Linked DNA regions of Daphnia pulex. The protein of the gene in region 2 purifies or fractionates together with the protein of the main gene of each other region. This does not show direct contact. Links are inferred from orthologs where the notes say so. Each region holds a gene or a part of one and is shown on either strand. Other genes may lie near its edges. The genes, in order: DDB1- and CUL4-associated factor 7 and dual specificity tyrosine-phosphorylation-regulated kinase 1B-like.

The links.
Region 1: the proteins of dual specificity tyrosine-phosphorylation-regulated kinase 1B-like (region 2) and DDB1- and CUL4-associated factor 7 purify together in Drosophila melanogaster (affinity purification with mass spectrometry; 3 studies listed by BioGRID, with this or other methods). This does not show direct contact. The link is inferred for Daphnia pulex from reciprocal best matches to the Drosophila melanogaster genes mnb and wap.

The regions. Positions count from the first base shown.
Region 1 is NC_060025.1:4,758,097-4,774,412, reverse strand, and holds DDB1- and CUL4-associated factor 7, read right to left. Parts: upstream 9,250-16,316; 5' UTR 9,050-9,249; coding exon 8,943-9,049; intron 8,856-8,942; coding exon 8,714-8,855; intron 8,652-8,713; coding exon 8,553-8,651; intron 8,491-8,552; coding exon 8,368-8,490; intron 8,303-8,367; coding exon 8,021-8,302; intron 7,953-8,020; coding exon 7,835-7,952; intron 7,725-7,834; coding exon 7,549-7,724; 3' UTR 7,322-7,548; downstream 1-7,321. Other genes in the region: exosome complex component RRP43-like, read right to left, coding at 270-388, 447-550, 618-738, 805-1,099, 1,161-1,335, 1,395-1,411; uncharacterized protein LOC124202359, read left to right, coding at 4,790-4,884, 4,956-5,298, 5,382-6,061, 6,537-6,658, 6,802-6,938, 7,027-7,224.
Region 2 is NC_060021.1:8,752,544-8,769,413, reverse strand, and holds dual specificity tyrosine-phosphorylation-regulated kinase 1B-like, read left to right. Parts: upstream 1-6,876; 5' UTR 6,877-7,366; intron 7,367-7,556; 5' UTR 7,557-7,765; coding exon of another isoform or gene 7,766-7,850; 5' UTR 7,851-9,073; coding exon 9,074-9,746; intron 9,747-9,821; coding exon 9,822-10,000; intron 10,001-10,070; coding exon 10,071-10,419; intron 10,420-10,573; coding exon 10,574-10,860; intron 10,861-11,003; coding exon 11,004-11,331; intron 11,332-11,411; coding exon 11,412-12,580; 3' UTR 12,581-13,658; downstream 13,659-16,870. Other genes in the region: maternal B9.10 protein-like, read left to right, coding at 1-92; 39S ribosomal protein L33, mitochondrial-like, read left to right, coding at 4,158-4,201, 4,275-4,378, 4,446-4,487, 4,564-4,598; uncharacterized protein LOC124194269, read right to left, coding at 1,622-1,660, 1,751-1,945, 2,013-2,309, 2,383-2,909, 2,975-3,427, 4,666-4,816, 4,883-4,970, 5,047-5,159 and 4 more; Kv channel-interacting protein 1-like, read right to left, coding at 14,452-14,499, 14,577-14,639, 15,578-15,708, 16,570-16,664, 16,784-16,842. UniProt on the Drosophila melanogaster protein: Role in the specific control of proper proliferation of optic lobe neuronal progeny.

The DNA.
Region 1 (16,316 bases), on a different chromosome or scaffold from region 2:
GCTATTTATATATTCTACTTGGTATCGATTTTTTTAATACTGTTAATTACTTGTTTCGGCTAGTGCCTCCAGGATTATTATTAACATGTTGTATGAATCATTCCTGTGATGATAGCTCACGCGAGTTAAATACATCGGTTACGTAAAATTGAAAGTAGTTGAATGTTTTTAATCATGAAGTAAAAAATTTAGATTGAGAAAACTTTGAATTGAAACTGACATTTGAAACTGTATTATTTTCAATACCAAACAAGGAATGACGAACAATTTCATCGTTCAGCAATAGATGATGAACAAGCCTCTTCAATCAATCTTGCAACCTCCTTTGTTTTCAATTCTGATTGCTGAATAAGTTTTTTCACCTGTTTCTCATCTAAAGTACATCCTCCTGTAAAGTCAAGGGAAGGTTATGTCCAAATTTAAGAACATCATAGAAATTTTTTTACCTGGCTTATACATATGTGTAACTGAAGTACCCTCCATGGTAATAGATGTTAATCCAGCAGCCAACTGCTCCTCTTCAAATGTAGGATCACTGATCAAAATACCACTGTTCAAAATAATGAGAAATCATGATTTCATAGAAGTTTCTTCATGTTTTTTTTTTAAGCACATACTTATCAAATAAGGAGAATGTTGATGTAACTGGCTGCTTAATTGTGTCAAAACTCATTTTTTCATTTGGGTTGGAAACTAGTTTGTCCATCTCCTCATCATAACTCACAATGGGAAGTTTCACTGTAATGAATCAGTGAATGAATTAGATTATAGAAAATAAAACATAAAACTTTAGAATAGAATTACAATTTTTCAGTGCAGCTACTAATGCCATCACACAAGCATCTAGTAAACTCCCATCAAGGTTAATGCAGAGTAGATCACAATGAAGAACCCAAGCCCATTTTGAAACCTTTATGCACAATGTTTCCAAGTCCATAATAATATTGTTATTGACTAATTCAGCTATAAACTGGGTAGCAGCTTGAGCTGTTTCTCCAGGAGGGCCAGATTTTATTTGTGAAGAACATAAGGATGGCAGTGTCACATTTGGGATGATGAAGCCTTTAGAAGGCTCCTCTCTTTCTGGAGCAGCTAGTTCCTGGATTTGATAGATTATTGTTGATAATAGTTTTTGAAAAAAATAGTTATGAGTGTTTTACAGCTTTGATGCCACAAATGACAGTAGTATTTCCACATTTGACAATAGCTGAGCCATCAGCTGTTCCTATGGAACCAGCATTTAGAGTCATTTTTCTGAATTCCAGCAGTTTCCGACCGTCTGGGCGTGACTTGCGATCAAGGAAAGTCTTGTAAAATTCCAATGGTTGCAGTGTTCTGAATTAAGAGGTTGATATCAAAGTGCCCGCAAAAAAACTTCATAAAACATGACTTACTTGTGGTCAGTTGCCATGTTTAAATTTGTATTGGAAATAGAATCAACGCATACAGTGACGTGATGCGTAATCGGAAACACTAAATTGTAATTAAACAGAACATATATTAGTTTTGGAGTACTGAGTTTACACTGACGTAAGTGAAATAATTCATTACCAAATTGTAGTGATGTTTCGTTAGTGCTTTTTCTAAACGTTAGCGTTATCCGTTAAGTTAACGATGTCCAATTTTTTCACGTTCGTTAACGCCGTTAATTAACGCCGTTAAAAATGTCTCCGTTAACGAAAATTCGACGTTATTTTTACCGTTATTTAATAAAAAAATTGCACTATCAAATCACTGAAATCAGTCACGGTCTTGATTACTTATATTTAAATTGCTGCTGGCGTTGAACAATGTCACAATGAAGCAATGATCAACTAAAAAAAACAGAAACTGCGGATTAAATAAACGCACAGACAAAAGAAAAAAAAACAAGTTCCAACTAAAAAAGTAAAGGCCTCAATAAATCCTTATTGCAAGTGAGGAAGACTTTTGCGGCCAAAACTTCTTCCGCCGTCCTATTTTTGTGTCCTAGACAGTGCCATCCGGCAATGGAAAATTCGCGTTCAGATGATGCCGAAGAAACTGGTATAACCAGTAAATTATAGGCCATTTTGGATAATTAGGGGAAACGACCAGACAAATCCTTCCAGTAAGAGATCACATCTTGAACTGGTGGATCCTTAGAAGGATCAAATTCATGACTTGCAAAGTGGAAGTTGTCTAAAAGTTCAGTTTCAATGCAGTCGAGGGAAGTGGCTAGAAGGTAGGAGCAGTCGAAATCAGGATCTCTTTAATCTGTCATGAAATTAAATCTTCTTTCGAGATCTTCTAACATCGCAGATGCCACGCTTATTCACCGTCAACAGGAGCATCAGAGTCTGAATCTGACATTAAAGATTTACACTCTGATTCTAGTTGTTTCCCTACTCTACTTATACAGTTTCGTTTGCCACGTTTTGAAAGCAAAAAAAAACCTCAGAGAAGCTAAGAAGACTACTGCTCACTGTCATTGGCTATTTAAATTCGTTTTCATAGTCAACCTACTACAGTAAAATGTTGGAAGCGCGCAAAAAATACAAATTTCATTTTGAAAAATCCAAAAATTTCATATTTGGCAGCGCTGTTAAAAACAAAAATAACGTCTGAAAATAACGTCTGAAAAATGCCAAACGTTAGCGTTATCCGTTAAGTTAACGAACCCCAAAAAAGGTCCGTTAACGGACTTTTCACGTTATCCGTTATCGTTAACGAAACATCACTACCAAATTGAATTTCAAAGGTTCAAACAATAATAGTAGGTAGCAGACGACGTAAAATCTAAAAGCATGGCCAAGCAACGTTGTCAGAAATTAAAAAGTGTGTGTTGCTTACTTGCTTAGTTGCTTCCTGTTTGCTGCTGTTTCCTGTTTGCGAGATTAAATAAAACCGATTGGCAGAAAATCAGCAGATAACACTTGAAGGATATTTTTCCTAAATATATAGAAAAAAACGTTCGACTCTCGAAATACCGGTCACCTTTAGAATTTAATGAACTTTTTTGGCATCAATATGGTAATGGGGTTGTAGACAGAAATAGTTCTGTCTGACGGCAAAAAATCGGTAAATTCTGTGGGAACAAGATAACTTGATATCGTAAAACCCAAAAGGTAAAAAAGTTTGGAAAATACCGAAAATCAGTACAACAACGGTTCATATCGCACAATTAGTAGGTTGCCTTTCAAATCCAAAAACCTCATTTATGTACCTCATTTAGTAAACTGTTAACTAGCTCAAGTCAGGAGTTATTTTACTTATTTATTTTTTTACAAAACAATTTGTGCATAAAGAATGCTTGAGTGAAAATGGTGTCAGGGAAAAATGTCGTGAAATAAAAAACAATTTGTGGACTAATGTCTACAGATGCCATCAGTAACATTAGATGTTATGATTTTTCAATCGTGCGTACCGTTTTAGTACCTTAGGAAAGGTGACATTCCACAGTTCAAAGTGAACTGTATCCACTTGGCCTGTTCATTCTTAAAATAAATCCAAGGGATGGAATCTCTCGCAATCCCGCGACAGTACACGCGTGTAGTGCTATTGTTCAGAATATGAGGCGCGTACCGCAACAGCCTTAAAATAAAATTTCCCGTCGCATACGCCGGCCGATTAATATATACTCTTAGCGAATTAATATGGAGTAGAAATTGAAATTTTTCGGTGGAGGGTTTCGAAATGTAATTTTAAACGTCCTCGGGTGGAATAGGCGAGGTCTGCTGTGTTCAGTCATATCGAACCCCAAGGACATTCTTTGTCTGTTATTCAGGAAAGTCCTCATGGTCGTTCTTGAGAAAACCCTTTATTGATGACGGGGACGTTAGCTCTTTTTAAGTTTGCATGTAACAACACCTTCGCCGTCCGAGGAAAAAAAATTCATAAAAGAGAAAATCAGCACATAGCTACCGAACCAAAGACGTCTTTACTTTATAGAAAGTGAGTTAGTAGAAGCTGCCAAGGTCGAGTTAAAAACGCAAAAGCTTTCGTCGATTGCTTTAGTCATGGTTGAGCTTTATTTCGACCCATAAATGATCAAGCTCAAACTCGATTTGATTTGATTTATTTACACCTTTCTTATCATCATCATTTTGGACAGCCAAAGATTTGATTAAAACAGGTTTTGTCAACTACCCAAGTCCTCCACTAGGTGGACAACCAATCGATTCATTTTTTTCTTTCAGGTGGCTCTCTCTCTCTTTGATACACACACACCCGTTTTTGTGAGAGTTACACAAGGGGCAGTTACTGGCTCTCCCACTAGTCTCCTTCCAGCCACCGTCACGACCGAACGCTGGCTGAACGACGATATGATCTTCAATTGTATCGACCGAGTTGTCGGGAACGCTTTGACTCAGTGCCAACTATCGAACTGAAGCCGTCGTAGGATTTCGACCGAAAGAAATTGAGCATTGCTGACCTTTTTACTAGAGTGTTGTTCATTCTGCGCAGACGCTACAATTCACGACAGCGTGGAGAAAAAAAGGTTTTCCCCCCAACATTTTGCTAGAATTCCTCTGACGATTCGTGAAACAAATCTGTGACGTGCGCAACTTTCTTATCTGGCCAGCAGCTTATATTTTTATCTTGTGCAGTCGGTGTTGTTGACGACTCGCTTGTGAGTATGACACATTGTCTTGGTGTGGTTGCGAAAATGAAGAGTCAGTCGTTCGTGGATTGATTGTCGTAACGTGTTTTATCTCTAAACGCTACATATCGGCGGCGTTGGTCGATATATCGTGCGACTCAGCCTGGAAAAGTCTGCCTGCTGCCAAGACTATATATCGATCAAGCAACAAAGACGAATGGTCTCGAGATGGGACAATCACTAAGCTTAAACAATCATCAACCCCCCAATAGCCGACTGACTTCTCCGACCTCTCACCGACAATCCCTTAAGCGCGTACACAGGTAAGGCTGTCGTTTTTGGGAGACTTTCATTTTTCAATTTGTTTATTCTCAATTTGCTGCTCGATTTACAGTGAAGAAGTCGGAGATGGGAAAAGAACCAGCATTTCGTTGCCCGCTTCGCCTTCCTTCCGCAGAAGAGCTGTTAGCGCCGATCCTCAGCACGAACAACTCGAATCGCCTAGCAAATCGCCTCTGTCGTTTGATTCGATGCTGAAGAATTTCGAAGAGTTTGCCCAACATCAGTGGCCGACTTGGGCCAAACGAAGAGGCTGGATCGCCGACATCGCTCCCGAAACTGTTAATCCATCCACTGTCGCTACCGATGACGGGAGCGGCCGCGTGATTCAAGTCGACAAGGATAAATGGATCTTCCTACGACCCAGAAAGAAATGCGCAACATCCATAAGTCCCATGGTACAACACGCTTATCACAGCAATCTAATGTATAATCTATAATGACTTATCGGAGTTTCTTTTGTCGTTTATTTAAAATCAAGGGAGTCGCTAGCATTCCAGTAGAAACGGTCATCGAAGAAGATGTTCTACTGGACTGCGCTGTGGGCAAAATGGTGGATATCCTGCACATCGACGAAACTCGAATTGTGACTGGAATCAATGGTCAGAGATCACGTCGTAGCAGCGGCTATGCCTCTGCTTCCAGTTCACCGTCTGCGATCAAAAGAATAGCTGAGCCCTCAACTGCATCGGTCGCCATCACAACGGCGGGCGGTCATCTGGTGGTCCCCGAAGATTCAAACGATGATTGGAGGTTTTCAAGCCTTTATGAAGTGACTCTTCGTTGGATGTTTGAAGCCGATTCTTGCGACTTGATGAGCGACGCCTCCTCCAGCCAGCAGTCATTTGAAAGCAAGGCCGTTAATAATAACCAATCCGTCCTGAACGATTCCGGAACTTCGTCCCTCGGAGAAATGCGTCCAACCGAGGAAGATTCATTTCTAGCTGCTACCGAGTCGTCGTCAGAAACGATTCGAATTTACTTGCACTTCTTTTGCCGACAAAAAAACAAGTTACCCTCATTTATTGATTTCCGTCCTATCCCTCGTCCGACCTATGACATCGCTGCGGGTGTTTCTGACAACGCGGTGGTTCGTGAGCGACAAATGTATGCTCTTGTATTTCAAGACGGAAGCCCCGGCCCCCAGACTTCATTTCCGAGGTAAAAGTGCGTTCGTCTCAAATAACCATTCGTAAGTCGTAACCAATGTCCGGTTTTCATCAAACCGGATACAACCGGTCTCTAGAAAATGGCTAGAGGGGGAGCTACACTGTAAATCTAAATCATCACATCGTCGGCTCAGACGAGCGTCACGTTCTCGAGGCTTTACAGAATCTGGTCAAATCGAGAACGATTTCTTGAGGTGAACTACTTCGTTACGCTAGTCAATTGGCACCTGCCTCGAATAGGTTGAAATTTTCTTCCTATTTCCGCGAATTCTTTGTACTCCTGCATCGATTTCTTTACCATTTGTAGGTGGATCGAACTAGACTCCATCAATATTCTCGTCATAGCCTCTAGTTTTTCAGGGTCCTTTTTGTATTGATTTCCTTGGGGAGTTTGAATTTTAAAACGAGGGTGCCCACAGAGTCAACGTTCTTACACATGCTTTTGTAACTCCTTATCCCCGTTTCAGAGATATTGCGTGCATCGAACTGGTACAACAAATCGTAGAAGCCCATCCTCATCTTTCAGGTTGGGAACCAAAAAAACTGGCCATCTATGAAAAAAGCTGGCAACCGGGAAAAACCAGTCGAGGTACGTAGTCATACTTGCGTTCGTTCGTTATCTGTTTGAATCCTTCTTTCGTCATACTTTTTACCTTCCCTCTCTCAAACGAGTCGGACTCGATCGTACTAAATTCCAGAATACCAAATCATGTTGTATTTGCTATTATTTAGCTCGACTTCGTCGCTTGAATGATTTCGATTGTCCGCTTCTACTTGCCCAACATTGGCAGGCCGATGATACCAATCTCGATGCCTCTAGCTGTGCCAAAACTCTAATCCTTCAAGAAAGCCAAAATGGAGACATTCCGGTAAAATACCATTGCGGGGCTCTAATTTTCGACATATTCCATCGCTAAACTATAAGCGCACCCATTTTTTCTTCTTTCTATATTTCAGTGGGAGGAATTTACAGTGGCTGAACTATCAAGTTTCCTTAAGGTTTTGGAACGTGAAGAGAAAAATCACGAAATGCAGATTCGCGAGAGATACCAACTACTTAACGAGCGGCTACGAGAAACTATGCAACTTTCGAATCCAACAGCTTACAAAAGCATTTCAAGTAATCAAACCAACCACTTAGCAGTCTCAAATTGAATTTTAAAGAGAAACATAAAAATATATATGATGTTAATACCTGCTGATCTTATACAGAATCCGAGTGCTGTGATAGAAAGCTAATAAAACAATGTTGTTGATTCAAATTCAGTCATTCTTTTCCAAGTTTTTGCTTAGTAGTACAGACAAATTCAAAATCTCAAATGTCACATTCTTATGATATTTTCCTTATTTTAATTACAAATCAACGATCCGATTCACGAGAGGATACGAATTATTAAAAAAACACGATCTAAGATAACCTGATGAGAAGTTTTCAGACATTAGTCATACTCAGTTTTGATATATATAGGTATTAAAGCATTAAACTCGTAAAATTTCAAGGGATCGATTGTAGCAAATGGCAATCCAATCAGGTTGTGTTGCTCCCCACTGGATTTGGTTGATTTCACCTTCAGCCGCTGTGTAAGCAAGTATGGGATCTTCAATGGCTCGCGGCATTTGCTGGATATCCCATATCAAGGCTTGATGGTCATCACCTAAATTATTACAAACCAGATCAAATCGGATCAATTATATACAGCAATTGGCAGCATACATCGTGCACACGGTACTTGCACAATTCTAGTTACAAATAAAAAATATTTACCAGCTGTGCAAATATGACAGGAAGAATGTGGGGCCCAAGCGATGCCATTTACACATGCCCTGTGATTACTCAAACGAGCGACGGGAGTACACGGCACTCTTACATCGAGTATTACCACCTAACATTTGTAACAAAGAAATTTGTAACGTGTTCTCTATTTGAAATGAGGTGAAAAACCGAAAATACTTCACAAGCATCCATGGATATCGTTGCTAAATAAGAAGGGTCCTGTCTATTCCATGCTAGTCTTAACAGAGGACGATGCTGAGGATCTTCATATATGATTGTTGAATGTTCTAGGTGTCTAAGGTCAAACATTCTCACGGAGCCATCAGCGCCAACAGATGCAAACATATCTCGCCCGCCTCCTGCCCGGCTGAATGCGATATCATAGACCTCTTTATCATGTGCGATTAACTGAGTTTTTACGTGTCCTGCTACACCAGGGCCACCAACTCGACCAACAACCTTTAAGATAAATAGTTTGTTATAGAATAATAAGATTTAAAGAAGTTTTAAAGATATTGCTTTACCTGTCCAGTTTCCAAACCCCATATGGTACATGTGGTGTCAATACTAGATGTTCCAATAAGGTTAGGTTCAACTTCATTCCAATCAAAACTTGTAAGAGGAGCACAGAAGTCTGAGTTTTTGTTCTAGAAATTGTTTTCAATGAATTAAATTTCTTGTAAATAATAATAATTCATGTAAAAATTACATTGTTAAGGAGGCATTCTAATCTTGTGTCTGGTTCTCCTGCTTTCCATATGCGTAGATAGTCCCCACTTGTAGCCAGTAAATCAGGAAAAACACCTTTCTGATAACACACTTAATTATTAACATTTCTTTAACCATATTTGAAACAGGATAGTTCCATACCGCATCAGGAATCCACATAATTTTTGTAGTAGGATATGGATGATCAAAAGTACTTTTGGCACTGAATTCTGCTGAATCTTCATCTAATGAAATTACTTGAACTTTGTTGTTGTATTCTTCTACAAAACTTCCAATAGCCAATCTAATTTGTAAAGGAATTTGAGGTTAGTCAAGTTGAATATTACATTTCTTAAACATAAAATACATAATTTTAAACTTCCTCCCTCACCTGAATCTCTTATCTGGACGCACTGACCAATTCATACTGTAAAGAGTCCATGGTGCTTCGTACTTGTAAATTTCCTTTCGTTTGGGAGCAACATTTAGCCCCGCCATTTTTTAGAAAACGACACAATTCCCGGGAATCGTGATCAAATATGCAGAAGTGTTAGAATTTCTTATGTTGGCAATTTTAACCGGAATGACAGTGGACCCACGCAAACAAATAAACCTATCTATTAACTTAGGCCAGACAAGACAACCATTAAATTTTCTCACACTGAAGCTGTACACCAAGCGGTAGAAGTCTGAAACGAAAGTCAGAGTCAAAATCAAATACAGGCAAAATAGATACGATATTTTGAAGAAGAGCGCCACCACCGCTAAATATTGTCTGCTACCGATCGCTGCAGTGCTTCAACGTTCAACCGTTCAACCTTCAAGTAGTAACGTCGCAACTACAATTTGTGAATATTGTTATGTAATAACTCGGAATTTCTTGACAACTTTTCAGTCTCGGTCTTAATACTTTTAGATTTAAAGTAATTGCGATACTATAGAACGAACGAAACATCATACTCCGTATGTTATTATTCCTTTTTAATTTAATAAACACAATCGACTTCTCATGACCGAATTGGTGAATTATCAAAATATTTAGAAATCTAAAATATTTTGGCATTCATGATCAGTTATGTGTACATTGCTTCAACAATTTATATTACACTATTAACAATTCCTCTTTGATTGTGTACAGAGAAATGGAAACATCAAGCAAAATAAACAATGAAATTGAGTCTTTAAATGCTGAAGAATTAAACTGGATTCAGTTAAGAGAGGAAATTGGATCAGAAAGTTTGAAGAACCAGGAGACATTCAAAGAAAAATTCAACAGAAAATTTTCTGAAAATCCTTTTGTTCCTATTGGGTGTCTAGCAACTGCAGCTGCATTGACATATGGCCTGTGGTCCTTTCGTCATGGGTATAACTTTACAAATTGATTGTTGTGTGGTTATTGACCATAATATATTTTTTTTAAATCTGTAATTGTTTGAATTGATTCATTAGGAGACCCCAAATGTCACAAAAAATGATGAGGCTCAGGATTGCAGCACAAGGATTTACAGTTGTTGGCCTTATGGTTGGAGTTGGTGTTGCAAATGTGAAAGAAAATGTGTAAACTTGTCTCTCAGTCCCAATGTATCATATTATTTAGTACACATACATGAGACTTCTCATAGTATAATACATAAAAAAAAAACTCCCTCAATCTAGTGGGATTAAATGTATGGAAATCGCAGTTGAATTATTTTGCCACTCGACAAGGCCTACTACTACAGTAACGACCCCAATCGCTCGTCTTTTCATTTAATCAATTTATATTTTAAAAAACGTCTGCAATGTAGCAAATGCTAGCTCCAGGAAAAAAATAATTATTGTTAATGAATGATCGGAATGACGCGCACAGCCGCAAGACATTTCCTTCTTTTACACGGAAAACGGTTTGGCGCTATTGTTAAAGGACATGTTGCTATGGCAATGTGGAAAGTAAACACAGGAAAAGTTTTTTCAAAATCGTTGGTTTGGATTAACAATTTGTATTCGCGATGGAAATCATGTGTGATAGCAACATTGGTATAGATTATGAAGCCACTGGTAAATCAAATGATTTGGCGGTAAAAATAATTCTTCTTGGAGATAGCGCCGTAGGAAAATCAAAGTATGGATTTGTAGATTGATTGAGCGATGGGTATATGAAGCCATCTTCATCTTGTTGGATAGTATGGTATCCAAAAGAAACTGACGATAAATTTTGAACACAAATGCCTTTAATACTAGGAATGGCAGGAATATTACTCAATTGAAAATAGAGATTTTCTATATTGAGAATTGGAGGCTCTGACTCCCTTTTGAATTTGATTTCCATGAATGAACTGTTCAGCTTCTTTCTGTGCATTTAAAACTTTCTATATCTGGTAAATCCACAACCATCTAACTGCGCCTTGTACTCTGCCCTGTAATTTGAAAAAAAAAGAGTTGTATAAATTATTTTTCAAATCCCAATGATTTTAATCATTTTCCTACCAAGCAGAATAAATGCCAACATTTTACCAATGGCTACAGCATAATAATACTTTAACTGAGATCCAGAAGTAAATGCTTTTGCAGTAGGAGATTGACTTCCACTTACAGAAAATGAGATTTCAAATTTCTTCAAACCATCAGAAATCTTTGGAAGTTAGGATGCCCTGGGTTTAACTGGCAGTATTTCTTGAGTGTCATGCTTGAGTTACATTGTTGGATGAAACCTTCAGCTTGCAGCTTGTGGGGAAGGACTGTGCACCAGGGTAGCATTGTATTTGAGATTGACATTCAGCCCTGAAAAATGTTTTCCCTTTTTACTGAAAATTTCTTATTACGTGATAACTTAATATACAAACTCGGATAGATGCCCACTCTCCTTCCCCTGGCAACTGCGTAAAACGACATTTCCTCATGAATAGAAAATTTATTGAGGCTAGAAACTAAAGATTGAATTATACGTCTAATCATCAAAAACTTTACATAGTTTAGAATATTTGAAACATACAGAAATCTACTAACATGCACGAAAACATGAACAGTCAAGCCAGTCAAGTCAATTTCAAACAGGATTAGCAGACTACACACACAGACAATGATCAGACAATAATGCACTTATGCACAAGGTAGTTTTTCCCAAACAATGCACAGGTGTGTTAAATAAATTTATAACACATAGTTTTGATTTGAATATGTTTATTAATCACATCTTTTTTTAATTTAAAATAAAAATCATTAATCAATTCATTTTTATAATACTTTTTCATTAAATAAGTAAAAGCATTTGGGAATCCCAGACAAAATCCCCCGAGGGCCTGCTCAATGCCTCAATCTCCAACAAAGAACTCACTTGGCAACCTAGCGATCAAGGTCCATATGGACAAGAATCAGCAGACCAACATTGAACTCAAAGATGAGACAATTGCTTCTATCTAAAATCAGGTTAGAAATTTTGAATTATCTGAAGCCTATCTGTTAAAGATTATTGGCTTCTTCCGTAGCTATTGACATTGTCTTCTCATTCCAAATCTTAATCATCTCAATTTGTTCACAAAGTACTAAAAGTGAAGGCCACTGATTTGTCTGTGCCTGTGTTGTGTTGGCCAGCATTTCAGTAGCTTTAATTGACAAGTACATACGCTTCACTAATCCTAACCTTGTAATGATTGAATAGTAAATGTTTAATTCTTGTTTATTATCAGACAAGGAAAATGACAATTAAAACAGAACATTAAAGAAAAGAACAAAGAGAGATTAATTCTTGTTTATTATCAGACAAGGAAAATGACAATTAAAACAGAACATTAAAGAAAAGAACAAAGAGAGAAAAAGAAAAGAAAAAAAGGAGACGAGAAAAAAAGACATTCATTTTTATTTGGGGGGGAAGAAAAAAAAGGGAAACTTAGGTCCGACGAGCATAAAAGATACTTTCTCTTATCATGGACCCGGTCACCCCAGAAAAGAAAAGGTCGATGGACGTAAAGAGCATCAAGATTGTGGCCAAGGGTAGAAATTTCTTTTGATGATCCTTAACATCAATGTTAATCAGGGTGCTGTAGGCACAGATCACCATCTGAAAGATCAAGAAAGCGCAGTGAAAAATGCTGATGCCCAGCCCCCAGCCAGTCAGTCCCCCGATTATGTTGAGAATGGCGTAAGTGAAGGCCTCGCATGACTTGGCAAAGGCAGCTACTGCCATCATGCTTTGGGCTGTATTGTTCCGTGGATAGTTAGGATTGATCTATTGATAAAAATTAAAGTAAATTCTAAGAAAATTAAAACAATTTAAGTAACTCACGGTCTCTGGGTCTCGGGGTTGTGGTGGCGGGGGAGATATTTAAGTTTTAGAACTTGTAGCCTAAATTTAAAAAAAAATTAGGATATATCCTTTCTATGTTTTACAGATTTTCTTTAACTTACATTTAGCTCTGTTGTCGTGGTTTCAGAAGCCCCTGTCATGATGAAAATGGATCCAAAGTAGATAAAAATGGAAAGGAAAGTGTGCTACAAAATGTGTGTCGTGACGAAAACGTGCCGCTCGTGCGATGCTCGAGCGCGTAGCAAATGCCACACGTGCTGAAAAACAAAAGACTGCTGTGAGGCGCGCCCTTATCCCCGGCCGAGCCCTATGATTGGCTAGTTGTCTCCTAGCAGACAACAAGTTCCTACGACCCAGAAAGAAATGCGCAACATCCATAAGTCCCAGGGTACAAGCTTATCACAGCAATCTAATGTAAAATCTTAAATGACTTATGGCGGAAAATCCAGCCCTGGAATGGAACGCTCGTCAAGAGCAACCATCGGAGCCAAGTGTTGGAATGACTCCAATTTTAGCTCGCTGCTCTTTGCGAGTGATCTACGCTCCTCCGATTGTCAGCCTGGAACAGCAATGTCTCGTTGCCGGGCAAGCCATTGAGGTCAACGCTTCCAGCGATATCCAGTTGCTAATTGATGCCAAGCAAATCGATTATTACATTCAATGGATGAATATTCTTCTTTCGGCAGCTACGAACTTGTCTTCGAAAGAGCAACAAGTGGCCGGATTTCCAGCTCATTCATTTTTTACTTCTAACCGAGTTTGTGTCATCATCTACACGTCGCAGCCAGACGAATTTCTGCCGTTTGCCTTGATCAATCTCATCCAGCCTCACGTATTGATCAAAACGGCTGATCAAGAAGTACACGAAATCGCCGTTTACGACATTCGGTTACAACTACCTTGCTGGGCCGATGGATCACCTGTCAAGAGTTGTTTGCTTCCGAATGAAAGCATGTATCCAATCAGTTTGATAGAAACGCGACTCGGTCAGCCGTCCATCATTACTGGAGTTCCACCTTCTCTTTTCCGCCTTGAAATCATTTCTGCTCGCCAATTGAATGTGGAACTTGGACGCCCTTTCAAATTCATTCTCCATGCAGACAATATTTCGAATCTCCAGTATTTGGCTCGACAGTTGGAAGCCTTCCAAACCAAACAAGAAGATTCGAAGTCATCATTATACCGGCATATCTGCTTGAAAACGAGCCAAATGGTAGTGGAAATACCGGTTCCCTCCGCCGTAATCATCGCCGGTCTAAACGATATGCTACTGGATGTGACTTGCCAATTGGACACAAATGAAGAAAAACGAGAGAAACTAGAAGCTAATTTAATACTGAATGCTTTCTCTGTCAAAGCGGAAATGGATCAAAACATTAATTTGCAACTATGCGATCCTTTCAGTCTCGATAGTCGGATCCAGTTGTTGTGGCCGCACTGGTTATCTAATAAGCGCGTCTTGGTACGTGCATTTTGTCGAGCCGACAACCTTCGACTTCACGCTTGGCCTCGCCAAGTGACTGTAGCCACGGCTCTTACGCAATGGATGTTGCAAAATTACTCCCCATCTCAAAATGACGATCCAGCTCCAAAGGATGTCGTCGTGGATAAGGATGAACAACATTATCAGGATGATTTTAGAACTGGTACATTTGATTTCCAGGTTCGGGACACCACCTCCCGTCCTTCTTCCGGATGGATGCAAGCAGAAGAGAAACCACGTCCGTACCAGGTAGTTTTCAACGTTCAACCCGCCTCCATGTGCTGGGCATACCCTCAACCAAGAGCTCTGACTCGGGTTGATGTTTATCCGATTCCTCTAATGAAAGCGGATGGAGCCGGTCAAGATGCGGCACCTGGAGTTGAGCAGGTTGATTGTACCTTGGAGTTTTGGGATCACTGTAGTCAAGAATTCCGTATTCTGAGGCGCTTTTCACTGTCTGAAGTTCGTTTCACTCGAGTTCCTCTGCCCAGCATATCAACGAATCAAACAGCACGCAACGTCCAGGATGACGAGAGGAGAGCGGAGAGGGAACTTTTGGAGAAGCAAGTGGCTTTTTCTGACATGTGGCGAATCGTTATGCATTTTACCGAAGAAAATTTACCGGAAAATCGGCCCAAGAAGATTATCGCTGCCCCGCCCAGTAATATTTCATCTTATTACATTAACTAAGATTCGTTTTTCATTAATATTAATTTATGAACTAGGTTTAGTGGCCTGCACTGAATTGATTCATACTTCAACGCATCCATGGTGCCCGATGTCCAGCTGGGTTTTACTTTCAACCACATATCGTTATCACTCCACAACCAGCTGATCACGCCGCCTTCATCTTCTCTTGACACGTGCTGAAAAACAAAAGACTGCTGTGAGGTGCGCCTTATCCCCGGCCATGCCCTATGATTGGCTAGTTGTCTGTTAATAGCAGATTGGCTATGATTGGCTAGTTTACTGCACGGGAATAGTTATTCAATAAATTTTTTCTTTGTCAGGTTACGGAAATCGTGATGGCAGGGAAGCTTACCAAACGGGTTTCATGTTAGCCAAAACAACAATCCGGCGCGAATCGAGGTGCTTTGCTGCCAAAGCATTTTTGCGTCCCGAGCAAAAGCGAGAAAACCTTCACATCGCAATACATTCACACGTCACGCAAATTCTTATTGATCCTAGGACTCGTAAGCCTACGCTGTCAAATTCAAAAGCAAAGGAAAAATCTACATAATCCAGGCTTCATAAGAAATTGTTTTATCTGCTGGTTTCACACGCCACAACTTCTCATGTTAAGTGGAATTGGCCCGGCTGAACACTTGAAAGGGTTAAATGTTCCCGTCATCGCGTACTTGCGTGTCGGAGACAAGCTACAAGATTACATTGTCGCCGCCGGCATGGTCTTCACCTTGGAACAGCCCGTTTTTATGGTTCAGCTTATCTTCAAAAACCTGACCAGCATTTTACGCTGCGGCTTGTTCGATTCTGGTCCGTTGACGGTTTCGGGTGGTGTCGAGAGACTTCCTGGGCCAACACTTAATACGCCCCCGTTCTCGCGTTCACAGACGTTTTCTCCGATAAAAAGAAAAGATTATAAAAACCCATGCATTGTTGTACAACGACTTTTTAAAAATAAATTTCCCTTGCGCGTGATTAAGTTTTTGGCCGATAAGGTTGAAAATAACAGAGCATATAGATAATATAGTTACCTAAAAGATGTGAAGAGAGAAATAAAAAATACCCCAGGGAAGTGGCTCTATGAATTAAAATAACGAAAAATTCACGATTTTTCGTGTTTTTTTTCGATGCGCGTGATCTAAATATTTTTTAAACCCATTCAAATTTCCAGGATATTTTTTAAAGACGAAATCTCATCCCAATCTCAAAGAGAAATCCGATAAAAAAAAGTCGAAAAATGAAACAGACTAGGCTACCTACATTCAGTCATGCATTCCCGTTTTGTAGCGTACCAGAAACATTCCACTATAAAACTG
Region 2 (16,870 bases):
TCGTCCAGCAACAGCACCCATGGGGCTTGGCTTACGTTCCGACCGTCCGCTACCTCAACAACTGGCCCATGGGTCAAATGGTCAAAGTTTGAGGTGAGAGAGGAAAAGAGAGAAAGACCAAAAACAAAAGAAACAAAAGGCTCATCGTTACACAAAACGACAACACAATGTTCCAAATCCCTCGTCAACACTTGCCTTTCGTTGTTCGGTTATTTTTGTCGTCCGTCATTTCTTTTTCAAAACTATTACCTCTAACGATATTTGAATTTTGTTTGTGATAAGTTCCACTCATTTTTTTTCCATCTCAGCTCCCGGTTTTCAAAGTTTTTTTTTCTTCTTTTTTCGATTTTAAAGGGGGTGTGTGTTTTCGTCCTGAAAGTTTTGTCCTCTCTCCTTTATTATGTTTTTTTTTTCTTCTTCTTGGGCGCCCCTTCGACGAGTCACTGGCGATTACACCTCGGCGTGCAATCTGTTTTGCCTTTGTCTGGCTCGACATCCGCGAAAAAGCACCGGCACCACCACCCCCCTAACAACTTTCTTCCGTTAATGAAACAACCAACTCTTTATGTGATTCATGTTTGCTACTCTCTCTTACGAAGTGCACCCCACCTTTCGTGACTTGATCTAGATAACAGAAAACAATCCATTTTTCTCGGACCATTTAGCAATTTGAGGACCTCCCCTTTACACAGTGTCGAAGAAGAAAAAAACAAAACATCCGGAAAATGTTCCCTGTTGGTGTGTGTGTATGTTTGTAAGAAAAACTAAGAATCCGTCCCAGCTATACTATTGATCTACTATCACTATATATGTATAATCGAACACATCTTTCCGTTTCCCAATTTTTTTGTTTATTATCCTCTATTCTTTCGTGTCCTAATTTTTTCCCTCCCACTGTATCTGTGCCGCGTTTGGTGTTTTGTATCTACGTATCGAAGTTGTTCCTCCGGTTGATTTTGGTCAAACATGTTTCATTCCTACTCGTCCTAAACAAGCAAAAACAACAACCAAATAAGAGAATGTATTTAGTCGATTATATTATATAGTAAATCCTGATTATTCCCCCTTCCCTGTTTTCTTTCTCTTAATTCCATAATGGCTGGGATTTTCTCAATCCTTTACTCCCAATTCTTAATCACAATACAACTTTGTTTCCGCATAAAATAATTCCGAAACTAATTGGTCGATTATTTCCTTTCGAATAAATAGATTTTTGTATTTGTTTCTCCGCATGGGAAGTTAAAAGGGAAGATTAACAATGATTGAAATCGATTAAAAAGGCGTAGGGGTGGAGCCATGCACTTATTTCTTGAGGGGAGACGAATGTAATATGAAAAGAAAGAAGTAAAATGGAAGAGAAGAGGAAATGTAAAAAAAAAAAAGTGGCAGGTAAATTTAAAATGAAAATAAACACCCACACGCAGTGTCATCTTGCAAATATGGACGGAATCGGGTTGGGAGACGAAAAATGATCGTCTTGGCACGAAAAATGAGTTTTTGGGACGGAATGGTCGGGTCAAAAAATAAAACGTCGAAATAAAAATAAAACGTCACTCGGGGCCGGAGCAAATCAGGTCAACGTAATAACGTCATTTTCTTTTTTTTCTTCTTCTTCTCCTACTTAAAGTGATGGCGCTTCTTCCAATTTCCTCCAGACCACCTGTAAGTTTAAATAGGGAATGAAATGAACTCGTTTAACCAGTTTCTTTTTCGTCTTTGACTCAATTTGACACGTATAGAAAATCCTTACGTTGCACATGGCGTGAACGAGAGCCCGTTCACCGTCTCCAAGGGCTTCTCCATCAGTAGCCTGCTGACCAAGGCGGTCGACCTCTTCGTCGGCCAGCTCTGAATCGGGAGTGACCAATCCGCTCCTCTGACGGGACGAGCTGCGACTAACCGACGGTAGGACTCCCAAACTGGATGGTTCTAGAAATTCTCTGACCTGTTTGATTGACAACACATTGGAGTTACTACAAGTGGCAGAAAATGCAAAACCAAAATAACTAGACCTGTAAAACACGAAGCGCACGAGTGACGGCTTCGGGACGGGAATGGACCAGTTGATCGTCTTCTTGTTGAATCTCGTCCGAACGGATGCCAAGCTCAACGGCCCGTTGATTGTGAACAGCGTTGTAAGGCGGAGGGTGGGGTGGGCGCAATCTTTGCTGCTGCTGTTGTTGAGGTTGCCGAATTACGTTGTTCGACTGCCCACTTCGCTCCTCCTCCATTTGAAGTATGCGAAGCTCCAGTTGGCGAGTGTATTGCAGCAATTGCTCGGCCAATACAGAACGATGTTGAGAGTGATCCTAATTAAGAGAGAAAAATGTGGTTAAGCAACTTTTTCATTGAAAAATTAGGTGGATTGGTGGTCAAATTTACATCAAGTAATCGATCTTGGCTGCTGGTACGGATAACCCGCTGGTGGACCATGCCCGAAAGAGTCTGAGGACGATTGACCGATAAATGCGATCGGGATGGATGCATGCTGAGATTGGTTGGTTCATCCGCGTTGGTGCTGCTGCTGCTACCGTCGCCATCATCACGGACGGGTTGCTGTTGCTGATTCAGACCAGCCATGTTCAATTCGGTTGGGGGTGGCGACGGAGTGGCTCCGCAAGAGACACAAGGAGCTTGTTGGATTTCGCTCCTTTCTTCATCCAAATAAAGGCAAAGTTCTTTCAGTTCTCCATTATCCCTCGTCAATTCTTGCTGTCGACTTTCGAGTTGCTTAAGCTTATTCTGATAAGACGCGACTTCTTGGCGCATTACGGACGCCGTATAACGACCGAAACGTTGCCACTCTCTGGCAAGCTTCCGTCCTTTCTGGCGATCATCATCCAAGAAACAGCAAAGATCTCTGAGCTCTTGATTATCTTCTTGAAGCCTTTGATATGATGATTTTAGACCTAATAAAAAGACAAGAATCAAATGATAATATTATGAACTAGTGGGGCATGAATGATGTCTTTACCTTTGATCTCTGTTGCTTGAGTTGCAATTCGATTCTGAGCCTCCAGTAAACGTCTGGCTAAGACTGGGACAGAGAGCATCATCAGTTCCTCCTCAGACATGTGGGTAGATGTTTCTTCATCCCCATCATCTTTTGTTGCAACAGGTCTGAGATTGATCTGAGAAATTTGTTGATTGAAGGCAGGCAAGCTTTGATAACTTGATGGTCCTGGATTTGGTATCAGCACTTGTTGTTGTTGTTGACCTGCAGGAGCTGGTCTGATTTGGTTTGGTGGGATATTTCGGCGAATTTCCCCTAGTGGAATGTATGGTTTTCTCTGTTGTTCTAACGAAGTAACAGGTACTCCAGGAATTCCACCAGGTGCAACTGCTGGCTTGGTGTCAGTTCTGCTGCTACCAAACTTATTCATAGTTGAATTTGGCATATGTGAGTAGCTTGCTCGAGTCGTTGTGCCTGGGTAAGGCGGAGGTTCAGAAAAAGGTCGAGGGATGTTGTTGTTCATTGTGAACTTGGAGTCACTTTTAACGAAAGATTCAATAGGTTTCAGCGCCATTAGCACCTTTATTTAAAAACTGTTAGTACCGTTAAAACACACATATTCACTCACAAGTATTAGGTCTTCAACGCACATTTAGAGAAATGAATGAAAACACAGAGACACTACTTCTTAAATACAATCGATAGCAGTCACCCAAGCTTTAGACGCCAGGTTTACACAGGTAGACATTTCATTCCTCAATTCTATAACCTCGATTTTTAACTCGGCATTTCCGCATTACTTCGCCAGTTCTCCGCTAGGGAGCGAGTGTGGAATTTCTTCCTTCGACTTTTAACCTAATTAAACATTTATTCAATTTTCTACTCATTCCACTGTTTTGTTTCTTTAAATTGGAAAAACTAAGTATCACGTAAATAAATAAATTAAAATTTTGTACTATTTCATTATTTGAAGTTGAAGCCATAGAAAAAGAACAATAATTTTAAAGTAATCGATCAAATTCATTATCGATATGTGTTGTCGTCTGCTTTTTTTCTGAAACACATTGGAAAAAAGCCTGTGTTTGGCGTTGAATTTGCTTTTGAATATTTTTGTAAAAAATCCCAATTTTCTTAAAAAAACCATTAGAATATTCACTTAACAAAACCAGTTAACCACTAGAAAGTTGTAAATCATCAGTTCAACATGCTGCTTACTAGAGTTCTGTTTGCTAAAAAAGCTAAAGCCAAGTAAGAAACAATAGCATGAATAATAAGTGAAACTCAATTTTTAAAAACTATAATTTTTTTATTCTGTTTGCAGGGACGTCTTGGTCATGTTAGAAAGCATTGTTTCAGGACATAGGGTTAACCTGATTCGACCAAGATTAGATGATAAATTGGAAATTATACGTTTTGACCCTTGGAGTAAGTTCTTCAAAAATAAATTGTTACTGTAGCTACTACATTTTAACACTAAATTTTGGGTTTTCAGTTAGGACCATGTGCATATATAAGGAGAAAAAGAAAGTTCGTAGTATGTAGAGAATGTTGAATAATTGTAGAATAAAGTTTTTTCCAACAGTTGTAATGCATTGAATTTTAATCCACAGAAAACTTTTTCACACACTTTGACTTGAAATTTTAATGCCTTCCTCTTCCACGCCACTGCGGCTTCTGATCTTGATTCCACGAGTTTCCTCCTTGATTCCAACCACCTTGGACTCGGCCGCCTCCTCTTTGACCTCCACCACCACCATCGCGATATCCACCTCTTCCACCTCCATCCGGTTTACGTTTCTGCCATCCGGGCATTTCGGGTGGTGGACGTCGGTTTTCAGTAGCACGACCACCTCGATCAGGAACCTTTCATAACGATAATTTCATTTAATTAATAGGAAACTGATGTGGCGCAATCAAGTTAAAGCCTACCTCGCCAATGAGCATTCGTTGAAGCGGAGTCTTCGTCTTCTCTCTAACGGAGGCGCTACTTGTTTTCTCCTCATAAGCAACATCCTCTCTGGTAATAAAGATGTTTCAATAAGCATTAAGATAGATTCTAGTTTTCCAGCGAGACAGATAAACATATTTACTACCTAGCGGATAGCAAGCGACTGATATTCACATTGGGCTCTGCCAGCATGCTAGATCTCAAGGGTTGGAAAATTGCCGATACTTCATCCATTTTACTTTTAACACTCGGAGACCACTAAATACCAAAGAACGTCTCGTCTTAAAATGAGTAGGTTTTCACAATTTTTACTTGGTTCTTACCGTGAACGATAGGACTGTCACATCAAGCCGGGTTAGCAACATTTCTCGTCTTAGTTTATAGTCCTTGTTCAGTTCTCCCAAAAGTTGGTGAAGCTGACTCCATTGTTGCTCTGTCAGTGATGTTTTCAGTAGAGGAGATCCTGGATAGTCTTTTGGGGCTGTTGATAAAATTTCTCGAATCTTGACGGCCATTTTATTGAAAAGTTGCTTGGCAGAAATATCAGAAGGTGGTTTGCTAAAGCCCAAAGTCATTAATGCAGATTTTAGTTTTTCAGCTGTTGGGGTTTCCTAAATTGTAGAAATATATGAGTCACAGCATTTAAAGGACAAACTTGTTTAAATATTTACAGATTTTAGGGAACATTTTTCCAGTTGATTTTCAAGATTATTCATCATTGCAGCTTGGCATTCAGAAATGAGAAAGTTTAACAGTTTAAAATGATTTTCTCTAGCTGTAAGCCTCAGGGCAGGGGGTCCATCCATCAAAACGCTATAAGGACAATCTGTGCATGTGAAATGTTACACATTTTGTCAATTGAAAGAGTCCCTTTTAAGATATCTTACAGAGTTCTTGTAAAAGTCCAGCCAATTCCATACAAAACATCTCTCCCTCTTCTGGCTTTTCAATGGCATTAACCATATCTTCGAGTTGGCAAAGTGATCCTAGTTTGAGTGACAAAAAATTCACAACTTTACTCAGATCTACTATGTACTCAGGGTCATTCCTTTCAAGCAGGCGTGCCATTTGAACAACATCATTAATCGGCCCCGTGTATCTACAAGTCAGTTCAACATATTAGGTATGGCAGAATGTTATCATTTTATTCAACAATAAAGTACCCTAAGTTCTGAAGACTAGTACAAATGGTATCACTTTCCATGTTTAAATTCAATTTCAATTTGAATTCGAACTTTTATTTGACGATAGCCCGACGTGCTCCCTACGAAGAGTTGCAGACGTCTGTGCTTTGGTGTGTGATACACGATTTGGTGATTTACTTTGAAAATATGGACAAGTACAACAACGCCAGTATTTCAAATTCGCAACAGCTGCAACAAATTAGGAATAAATGTATTGACTACACGTTTCAGAATTATCCGTTTATTGAGAAAGTTAGATAAAAACTGAATACAATTGGAAATGGAATTTTTAACAGGCTAATTTTATTTCACCATGAACTTGCACTTACATAATCTCTTGATATTTTGAATGTGTGGATTTTCTAACGCAGATTAAAATTTTTTGTCATAGCCTTGATCTAAAATTTGGAATGGAATTCGTGATAGATTAGTTTTCTTGGAAAACAGTTGTTGTTGCATTCGACAAAAAAAAAAGAACCGTACGGCGCTGTTTCACGTTTCTTCAGTTGGATTCCATTTTTTACCAGAAGATGGGGTTTACTATTTCGAATTAAGATTAAACAAGCTGGATAAAATAAAATCATTTATTTTTAGTTTTTTAATAAATAAAAATAAGTTTAAAATTAAAAATTTAATTCTTTAAATTATATTTTTAACTAGTTGTTTTAAACCTGATTGGGTGTTGCATCCGGTAGCCTCTTCTTCCCTCCAAAAACACAAATAAAAATTCATGAAGAAGTTACCTTTAGTGGCCGTTACGAAGCGCTGGTGTGCAAAGCAACGCCATTTGCAAAAGGAGAGAGGGGAAGAATTGTGTACAGAGGGCGCTCGTCTCCGTTAGCTGTTTTCGGGGCCTTGTTGATATGTCAACACGTAATTCCAATCGCCCAGTAAAAGAGTTAAAAAGTTGCTTAATATCACGGAATTAGTGGGCATTGATTCATCATTAATTGTTTGCATGGTGAAACTGTACGGGATTCGTGTAAAAACCGTTGGTGACTCACAAGATTCGTAGTGTTTTCGAGTGGGAAAGTTTCAGTTTGCCGTGCGAGACACCCGCCATCACTGTGTACAGAAAAGTGTATATACGCCGTGTGTGTGTGTCGTGTTGTGTCGTCTGGCTCGTGAAAAAAAAACGCCATGGCAGCACACAAAAACAATTTAAAAGCTGGGTCCTAGTGAAATTTATCAAATATATTCAATCTCTTGACTGTGTAGAACAAGAAACAAAGCATAAAGAACAAGTTTAGACTTCCCCTCATTGGACTGTTTTGAGAAAAGGTATTTTTCTTGAGCATTTTTACTCGCTCACAACATTTCAGGCTTTTGGCATCCAATTAATTAAAAAAATCGTTTCCAAGTTTTGGCAGTATTTTTACTCCAAACAATGTTTTTTTAAGAAGCCTTCATATGATTACATAATGTACACATTTCGTTCTCACAGCTAATTCATATCTCTATTATCTTTCAGGTGATCATCGCTTGTGCAGGAACTCTTAAACGACAAATACCAAAGAGTGTTTTCAAGTGAATTAGGCAGTGTTTGTGTGTGAACCAGCAAAAAAGACAAGAAAGAACAGGTTTTTTTCGGAGAGAAGAAAAGCCGCGCATCACCTCATTTGACCCCGCCTCCAACAGTATTGAAAAGGTTAAAAGAGGTCATCGAGTGACCTCTGCTGAATGGCGATGGAAAGTTCCGTTCTGGTCCAGCCTAAGCGACCCGACTGGCACAAGCATGAACAGATGCAAATCCACCACACTAAAAGTATGCCTTTTCTCATTTTAAACGAATATTTTAAAAATGAATCAAGTTGGTCGCCAGGAATTTTCCCCCCAACGGAAAACGAATAATGAATTGATTCATTTGGGGTGAGCTTTTCGTGTGTGTTTGACACGGTCGTCATGCAAAGTCAGGGAGTAGGAGAGAAGAAATCACGTGAAAATTCCGGTCGCTTCTATTTATTCCCTAACGGCAGGATTCTCCTCCTTGTTGTTGTTTTTGTTGTTTTTTGCAGTCGGGGCATTTTTTCTTCTTCTTCATTTTGTTTCTCCCCTACCCAATTCCTACTCTTTGGTTGAGTGGACCGGAAGTCTCGTACCACCACCACTACCACCACAGACAAGACACAGGCGCTGGTACTACTCCCGAAAATGGATCGAGAGGCCAGAGTATGTGGAATGCCAGACATTTTCTCTTTCGTCTGGCTTTGCAAGCAACGGGATGACTACAGCTGGGCGGGTGGGGAAGATAAATAAATGGAATCATTATTCCGTTCCATTTCTAAAAAAAGAACCTCGATGTTCAGGAGAGAGAGAAAAAAAAAAGGAATGCCGTGTCAAAATTTGTGTGTCTGGTTCATTAAGTCGTTTCAATGACGGTCACTGGCTGGCTGACTCAAGTGCGTCACGTCGTGACGTCATTTCCGGTTCAGACGGGGCTAGACTGCGTCATCAATCGGAGGTGTTGCGACGGCGGTACTCCCCCCGCCAATTTCACCATCGACACATGCCCAACGAATTGTTTATCTTTTGGAACAGGTTCATCTTTTTTCTTCTTAGAGGCCAACGACGAATCGACGAAAATTGTGTGATTCATCATTGATCTTTTACACGCCAAATACCGAAACGGCCTCGTTGCTGCTCGGCGCGCATGCGTTTTTCGTTTCCGTCTCAGCCCTGGGATGCCTGGCCACAACTAGAGTGTGTGTGTGTTGTCCATCCCTGGGTGTTGTTTCCCGGCGGGTCGTTGATCGACAGACGGGCTCGTATATATGGCCTCTTCTCTCTCTCTCTCTCTTTGCCGTCTAGCCATTTTCTCCTCTTTCTCTTGCCCTTCTTCTTCTTTTCTTCGTGCTGGCCGCCGCCGCCGTCACGCTGCTTCCCCTCCTTGTTCACGTCTCTTGCACCAACTTTTCATCAGACTCTCTCTTTCACTGTCTCTTTTCTCCCTCCTGGCGCTCACGGCGGCTAAGAGTACTCGGCCGTCGGATGGGGAAATCGGGGCGGAGTCAGACGCCAAGTGAACTGAAAATAGGGACCGTTTTCGTGCCATCTGGCGGCGGAACAAGTTGTTCCCTGAACGACGCCGATACACACGCACACATATATGAGAGTTTGGGGGGGGGCGGTCGGTTGGAGATTCCGAACAAATTCCGACGGGGACCGATCATTCCGTTATTTGACAAAATTGTATTTATTTATAAATATATCTACACACACTCTCGACACGACAAACAAGAGATAAACATGGGCTCGTTACCATGCGGAGGAGAACAAGAAGCGACGGTCGAAAATAGTTTTCACGAAAAATACCTAAACATAAATTTTTGCCTCATAACTTTTGTGTGTGTGGCGCATTTTTCATCATTTCTTTCTTCTTCTTCTTTCGTTTCTTTCTTTCGCTCCCGGTTGGTGACTGTCCTTTCCGAAACGGAACCAGCCGGCGAGTGTATAGTCGTCTCGTCTTCATCTTCGTCGTCGTCATCCGGTCGTCCGAGTGGCAACAGCGGCGTCGTTAGCAGCGGCGGCGGCAACAACAGCAGCAGTGCTAACAACAGCACAGCCGTCTATGGCCGGCTGGTGCCCGAAGAACAGCTGGCAGCCCTTGGACGAGGATTGTCCGTCATCAATCCTAATGCCGCAATCAATTCCTCCTCCTTAGGTAAATAAATCATCTGACTCTAGTACTTAATTCTGACTCCATTTTAACGTTGTTTCGTATTTGTTTTTTTTGCAGGGAGTTCCTCACTCTCTTTCGGTGGTGGAGCTGGATCTGCCTCGACGTCAGCCGCCGGCTCTTCCTCCGACTTGCAGACGATGCAGTCGCGAATACCTCGTCAGTTTAGAGACCCTGCCTCGGCTCCTCTGCGAAAACTTTCCGTAGACCTCATCAAAACCTACAAACACATCAACGAAGTGAGACAATAGTAGTCATACATTTCGTCGGTCTATTTTGTAACTAATTCTATATTGCTATTTCCGCCAGGTTTATTATGCCAAGAAAAAGAGAAGGGCGCAACAGCAAGCCCCAGGCGAAGATTCCGGTCAGCAGCACAACAAGAAGGAGCGCAAGGTGTACAACGATGGCTATGACGACGACAACCACGACTATATCGTCCGGCATGGCGAACGCTTTCTCGATCGTTACGAAATCGACTCACTCATTGGCAAGGGCTCGTTCGGTCAAGTGGTCAAGGCCTACGATCACGAGGAGCAATGTCATGTGGCCGTCAAAATCATCAAAAACAAGAAACCTTTTCTCAATCAGGCCCAGATCGAGGTCAAATTGCTCGAGATGATGAACAAGGCCGACGCTGAGAACAAATATTATATCGGTAAAATAGCATTTCTTCCTTTTCAACCTGCTCACCGACTCTGTGTGTGGTCGGGAGGAAAAGAAACAAACAAAATTTAATTGCCGTTTTGTTTCTTTTCTTTTCCTTTAATTTTCTCTATTGATTATTTTATTTTTTCTTTCTTTCTTTACAGTGCGGTTAAAGCGCCACTTTATGTGGCGCAACCACCTGTGCTTGGTGTTTGAGCTGCTGTCGTACAATCTGTACGATCTGCTGCGCAACACCAACTTTCGCGGCGTCTCGCTCAATCTGACTCGCAAGTTTGCCCAGCAGTTGTGCACCGCCCTGCTTTTCCTCTCCACGCCTGAACTGAGTATTATACACTGCGACCTCAAGCCAGAGAACATCCTCTTGTGTAATCCCAAGAGGTCGGCAATCAAAATTGTCGATTTTGGCAGCTCCTGCCAGCTCGGCCAACGGGTAAGTGTGGCGCCCACTTCAGACGACGACCAAACAAAGTTGCATAAACTTGTTTTTTGCGTTTTTGACTGGCGTCTTCTCAGTATTTTGCGTTGGGCGAGTATTTCATCGTCGTTTCTTTTTTGTTTTTTTAACGGTTACAGATATACCAGTACATCCAGTCACGGTTTTACCGATCACCAGAAGTGCTCCTAGGCATCCCCTACGATTTGGCAATTGACATATGGTCATTGGGGTGTATCCTGGTGGAAATGCACACGGGAGAGCCGCTATTTTCAGGCGCCAACGAGGTGGACCAGATGAACAAGATTGTCGAGGTGCTGGGCATGCCACCACGGGCCATGCTCGACTCGGCTCACAAGACCAAAAAATACTTTGACAAACTACCCGATGGCTCCTACGTCCTCAAGAAATCCAAAGAGGGCAAAAAGTATAAAGCGCCGGGCCATCGCCGCCTTCACGACATCGTCGGTAAATATCCAATTTCAAATGTTCAAAACGTACCGGAAACCCTTTGTGGTATTTATCGATTTTCTTCCTGTTCTGGTCAGGTGTGGAATCAGGTGGTCCTGGGGGTAGAAGATCGGGTGAAATCGGACACTTTGTATCGGATTACCTCAAGTTCAAGGATTTGATATTGCGGATGCTGGATTACGACCCCAAGACGCGTATCACACCTTATTATGCTCTGCAGCACAATTTCTTCAAGCGGACGGCCGATGAGGGCACCAACACGCACAACAATTCGGCCTCTACCAGTCCAGCCAGCATGGCGGATCATTCCAGTCAGGCGGTGATGGCGGCGGCAGCAGCGGCGGCGGCTGCCGCAGAAAGTAGAGCGCGGTCGGATCCGAGTCACGGTGGTCCCGTCAATTATTCGGCCATCGTGTCGGGCTCGTCGACAGCCTCGACAGCAGTCCAGTCTTCTGCTATGGAGTGCGAAAGTCCCAGAGGTCTACCTCCTTACCTGCACCAGCAGCAACAACAGGGATCACGGCCGCATCCTCACCACCTGCCCACTTACTCCAACTCTTCGTCGTCCTCATCAGCGGCGGCGGCCGCCGGAAGGAGATACGCGTCTCATCTGGATGCAAGTGGTGGTGGTGGTGGTGTAGGACTTCAAGTGCTGAATAGCGGCAATCCAAGTGTCTTTGCGTCCGGATCTTCGGCGTTCATCGGATCAAGCTCGGCTTTCTCGGTGGGTAGCAACAACGCGGCCACGTACAGCAACCTGGGCGGTGGAAGTGGAGTGAACTATATCGGTGGGCCTTCGGCAGCTTTGTCGGCGACGACATCATCGCTGGACTGCACGCAGAGCGGCAGCCTCAACTTGCCCCTATATCAGACCCCCTACAGTTTAGTTCATCCGCCCGGACCCAGCGGTCTGTCCACCAACTCGTCTGGTTACTTCAACGCCTCATCCTCCTCCAATTCCATCTACCCCTTCCCTTCCAGTCACGGGAGTAGCAATATCAATAGTAGCAGTAGCGCGTTTAGCAGTATGAATGGTCCAACAGCTTCGTCATCCTCTTCCGCTAATCAGCTCATCTACGCCAACGAAATGCCGTCGGCGACAGGATCGGCCGTGGGTGGCGGAGCCATCAAGAATTCTCGGTCGGGCCCTCCACAGGCGACGTCGGCCAGCGGTAGCAGCGACAGGTCCGACAGTCCCATGCAAGTGGGCGTTTGCGTCCAGCAAAGTCCCGTAGCAAGCCACTGACAGATTGTTTTATTTTAACACATTTTGAATTTTGTTTTTCTTCTTCTTTTACGACGCTGTTCTCTTTTGTAGAAACACACACACAGGCAGAGTAGAGAAAGAAAGTGAGCGAGTGAAAGCAAAAGTCGTGTGAAAATAATAATGAAACCACACAACAACCCCCCTTCCCTTCTTATCCATCCGGAATGAAAACCTTGATGGATTTTGTTTTGCTCAACCTTAGTACTACTGTATTTTTCATGACCGCGAAATGTTTTTTCTCTCTTTTTTATATTAGCGAAAATAATTATGCCACACGACTCCTTACGTCCCCCCCACCACCAATCGAATTATCTGCAATGTTTTATTCCCGAATTTTTTAAAAAGAGAATCCCGAATCAATCACCCGATTTTTTTTTGTGTTTAAAGCAAAAGAAAAAAAATGAATACCAACCTGAAATGATTTTCTAGAAAAATAATAATAATTAGCTGGTTTGACGCGGAAAGAGTTCCTATCCATCGTCGTCTCCCCCTCTACAAACTGCCTCATTTTGATTATTAGTAGCATCAAAAGCCGATCCTTCTTAATATAATTTCTCCTCCGCAACTACTACATCAACTTCACTCTCCTCCGAATCTGTCTTTTTAAAAATTAGATCCGCGAATAAAAAAAGCGACCAAAATGAACAAAAAAGAGAAACATGTAAAAAAAAACACCAAAACCCCCAAATATAGCTTAAGACATGAGTTTTTAAAAAATGGAAAAAAAAAATAATGCAATCGATGATTTCCCCGTACTAAATAAATGTATTTGCATACGCCGAGAATAAGGAATCAGACAGGGAACCTGTGCGTGTCTTTAATTCTTTTTGTTTATTTGTGTGTGTGTGTTCCTTTTTCCTGGTGGCTCGAGAGAGAGAGAGAGATGCGTGTGTGTTTTAATTTATTCGGCTCTTCTCGTATGTGTAGACAAATATTTTCTTTCGTCTGTTTGTTTTCTTCCCATCTTTTATAGACAAGAGAATTCTTCATCGACGGTAAAAATAACGATACAATTTGTTGGATTGTTTGTTGTTTTTTTAAGGATAAATATCCCCCCCCCCAAAAAATAAGAAAAATATTGAAATTTGTGCGTGTCGTCGTCTTGTGTGTGTCCTCCGATCGATTGCAAATCCTTGACGTGTTTTTCCCCTCTCTTGTCTCCTCTCCCAAATCGTATCTGATGGTTTGTCTTGCATTGACGATAATTTTAACAATTTCCTTTTATTTAATTTTTGGTTTTTTAATTCTTTTTTTTTCCTCTCTTGCCAATATTGAGTGCGTGTGACATTGCGTTCGTTTGTTCCTCCCTCCCCCATCTATTTGAAGCTCCTCATTTGACCAGGAGGTTATTAATGAGAGAGGAATATCTTGTGAGATCGATCATAATTTTTTTTTTAGTGATGAAACGATGTGTACATATAAATGAAGAGAAAGGGGATAGAACACCATTGAAAAAATCGTGTCTTTCTCGAGAATGTGGATATACATGCACGAAAATATAAAGAATGAACGAATGGGTTAAAAGAAAAAAACATTCACTTGTCCTGTTAATCAGAAATTCCGGCAATAGACACTCGATCAATAAAAAAACACGTTATTTGGCAGGATTCCTTTTTTCTCAATTATAGATCCGTCAATAATTTGTTGTTTGTTTTTGTAATATATAAAGTCATCTAATGAATTGATAGAAAAACAACACGCTTCGAAATATCTCGGGGTAAAATTGAAATATAATTTCTACACGAAAGAAATCAAAGCTACGGAAAAATCCAGGCAAAAATTACATAAGGAACAACACTGACGGGATAGAATTGTTTCCTTTTCACTTTTCCGAGGGTGAAGGAAATCCTTCAAAGGGTGACGTCCATGTTCGCCATTGTGTTGGCGATTGTTTCGTCCTGTCACGCAGAAAACCCGTATACATCAAATTTAATTAACCACTAGAACAGCACCTAGAGTGAGTCAACATTGTTACCTTGGTGCACGTTTCCAGGAATTCGTCCCAAGTAACCTGGCCATCGCAATTGAGATCGAGTTTCTGTCGTCACGAAAACAAAAATCATCATCGTTATTTTCAATAGTTTTGCCTACATTTTTGTATTTTAATAACCCACAAAGTAAAACGAGGCAAAGGAACAAAGCCTGTGGCTACAATTAAAACTCGGCTGCGTTTGAGTGCAAGGATTCTTTCCCATTTGGAACAACGAAACAAAAGTTCATTTCTGTTGTTCGTTCAAGCATAGACGAGTAAATTCCTTTGATCAACAAGAATCTTTGAACTTTTTTTTTTCTTGCCGAAACTTTAAAGGTTCTATTTCTGTTCGTTTAAAAAAAAGTACATAAAGGGCAAGGCTGATTAAAATCTTGTTGAGCCAAGCGTTAATAATAAACAAATCCAGTCGAGCAGACGAATTTAATTGCTTGCCCAAAGAGGCTGAGGCATCAAAACACGACGTTTCTGGATAACATACTCCTACGATATGCACACACTGCTGATTATTCATGCATTAAGATAAAATTGGTTGGTTATGTTTATGTCTTTGCTACTTTCTTCAATTAAAACAGAAAAAATTGCAACTGTGTGCGCCAAGGGGATTAGATCGGAATTAAAATGAACATGCAACGCTGTTGTCTTCCTTTTCGAATCAGAATCAACATTAAACTCGACCAAGTGGTCATTTCTTTGTCACATCATGGGCTTCATGGCCACATGAGTTGTTACTTTTCTCATTAAAACTTGACTTTAATGTTCCATTCCACGTGGCAAAGAGACAGAACTGATATCAAAGAAACTGAATCCACAAACCCAGTGAACTAAATATTTCAAAAATCAACTAGAATTACCCATGGCCACCTCATGCAAGATGGAGCAGAATCAATGTGATCACCACCAAAAGTAGTAAGTCACCATTTTATAAAATTCGTTTGTATTGTTGTACGAAAAGGAATAGAATTGAAAAGTCTTAGCATCAATACCTGAAATATGCGATCTGCGTGTCGTTCTGCAAACATTTCGTGATTTCTGCGTTCGGCCATTGCAGCTGCCGAATTGGTGGTCGATGGACTTGGCATCATGTCAGGAATCGTTTTACTCGAGAGTAGATTGCCTTTGGGTGAAAGAAAGAGGAAGAAGGGAGACACATCCATATTAATCAAATGTTGCCATGATGAATAGATTCGGTATATTATGCTGGTGGTATCGGAAAATGAGGGAGAATTCTATCAAAACAAAAAAAGGAAAATCCCTCGTCTCATATTTCCCGCCAAGGATCGATCGATAGCGAATGCCAACGGCGTTTATATTTATGATGGGCTTCATTCCAAGCGTGATTGAGAAACTGACGTTTTTGTTTTCTTTCTTTTCGCTGTTATTAGTGGCAGCCAGAAACAAGAAAATCGACATATTTTATACATTCATCTTTATTCGAGACGATTGAACAACCCGATCAATCCGTCGCCCGTCTGTTTGGAATTCATCCAATCCCATATTGCTGTAGATATCCTGTTGATGTTTTCCCAATTCTTTTCTATTTCGCTGCTCTCATCTTTTTTTGATTTTAAAGAAGAAGAAGAGAACAACGGGACCGAGTCTGTCCATTCGAAATCGTGTGATAGTGTAGGGAATAGACCGAACCAGAGACTTGCGTCTCTTCCCAGCCAAACCGTCAGTGTGTGATTATGTTGTGTGTGTGTGTGTGCGTTGGTCCCCTGACACAGCCCACGTAGTAGCAATCTCCTCTGTCGACAGTAGCTCTTTCCGATGTAACGTGACTTGCCTCCGGGAAGGCGTCTCTCACCCACCGTGCGACTCCCGCAGTATCGCAGCTCTTGACTATCTTTTAACGTTTGCACTACTAAGACTAGTAGTATATAGACTAGCTCCGAGGGCTCACAATCCCAGGGACTTTTCTTTCTCTTTCTTTCCTTCTCCGTGGATACGAATGGAATCTTTTTGTCATTGATTTTACCGTGAGGACTTAGTCGATGGATGGCCATGACGACGTCCCGCAATTCACTTCGGCTGATGACCCCGTCGCCATCGGCGTCGTACAGCGTGAAAACCCTGGCCATCAAAAAAAAAGGACAAGAAATATTTTTGGTTATACAGTCTTGTAGTGCGTTGGGTTAAGTGGAACCCAATCAACCACCCGCAGAGTCACAGATATCACGCGGTCCATTTACCATCGTAATTTGTCCGGCACCGATCCACGTGACAGCGCCGACACTCCCAGCACTAAATCCTGCGTTCAAAAATATTCGTTAAAATAA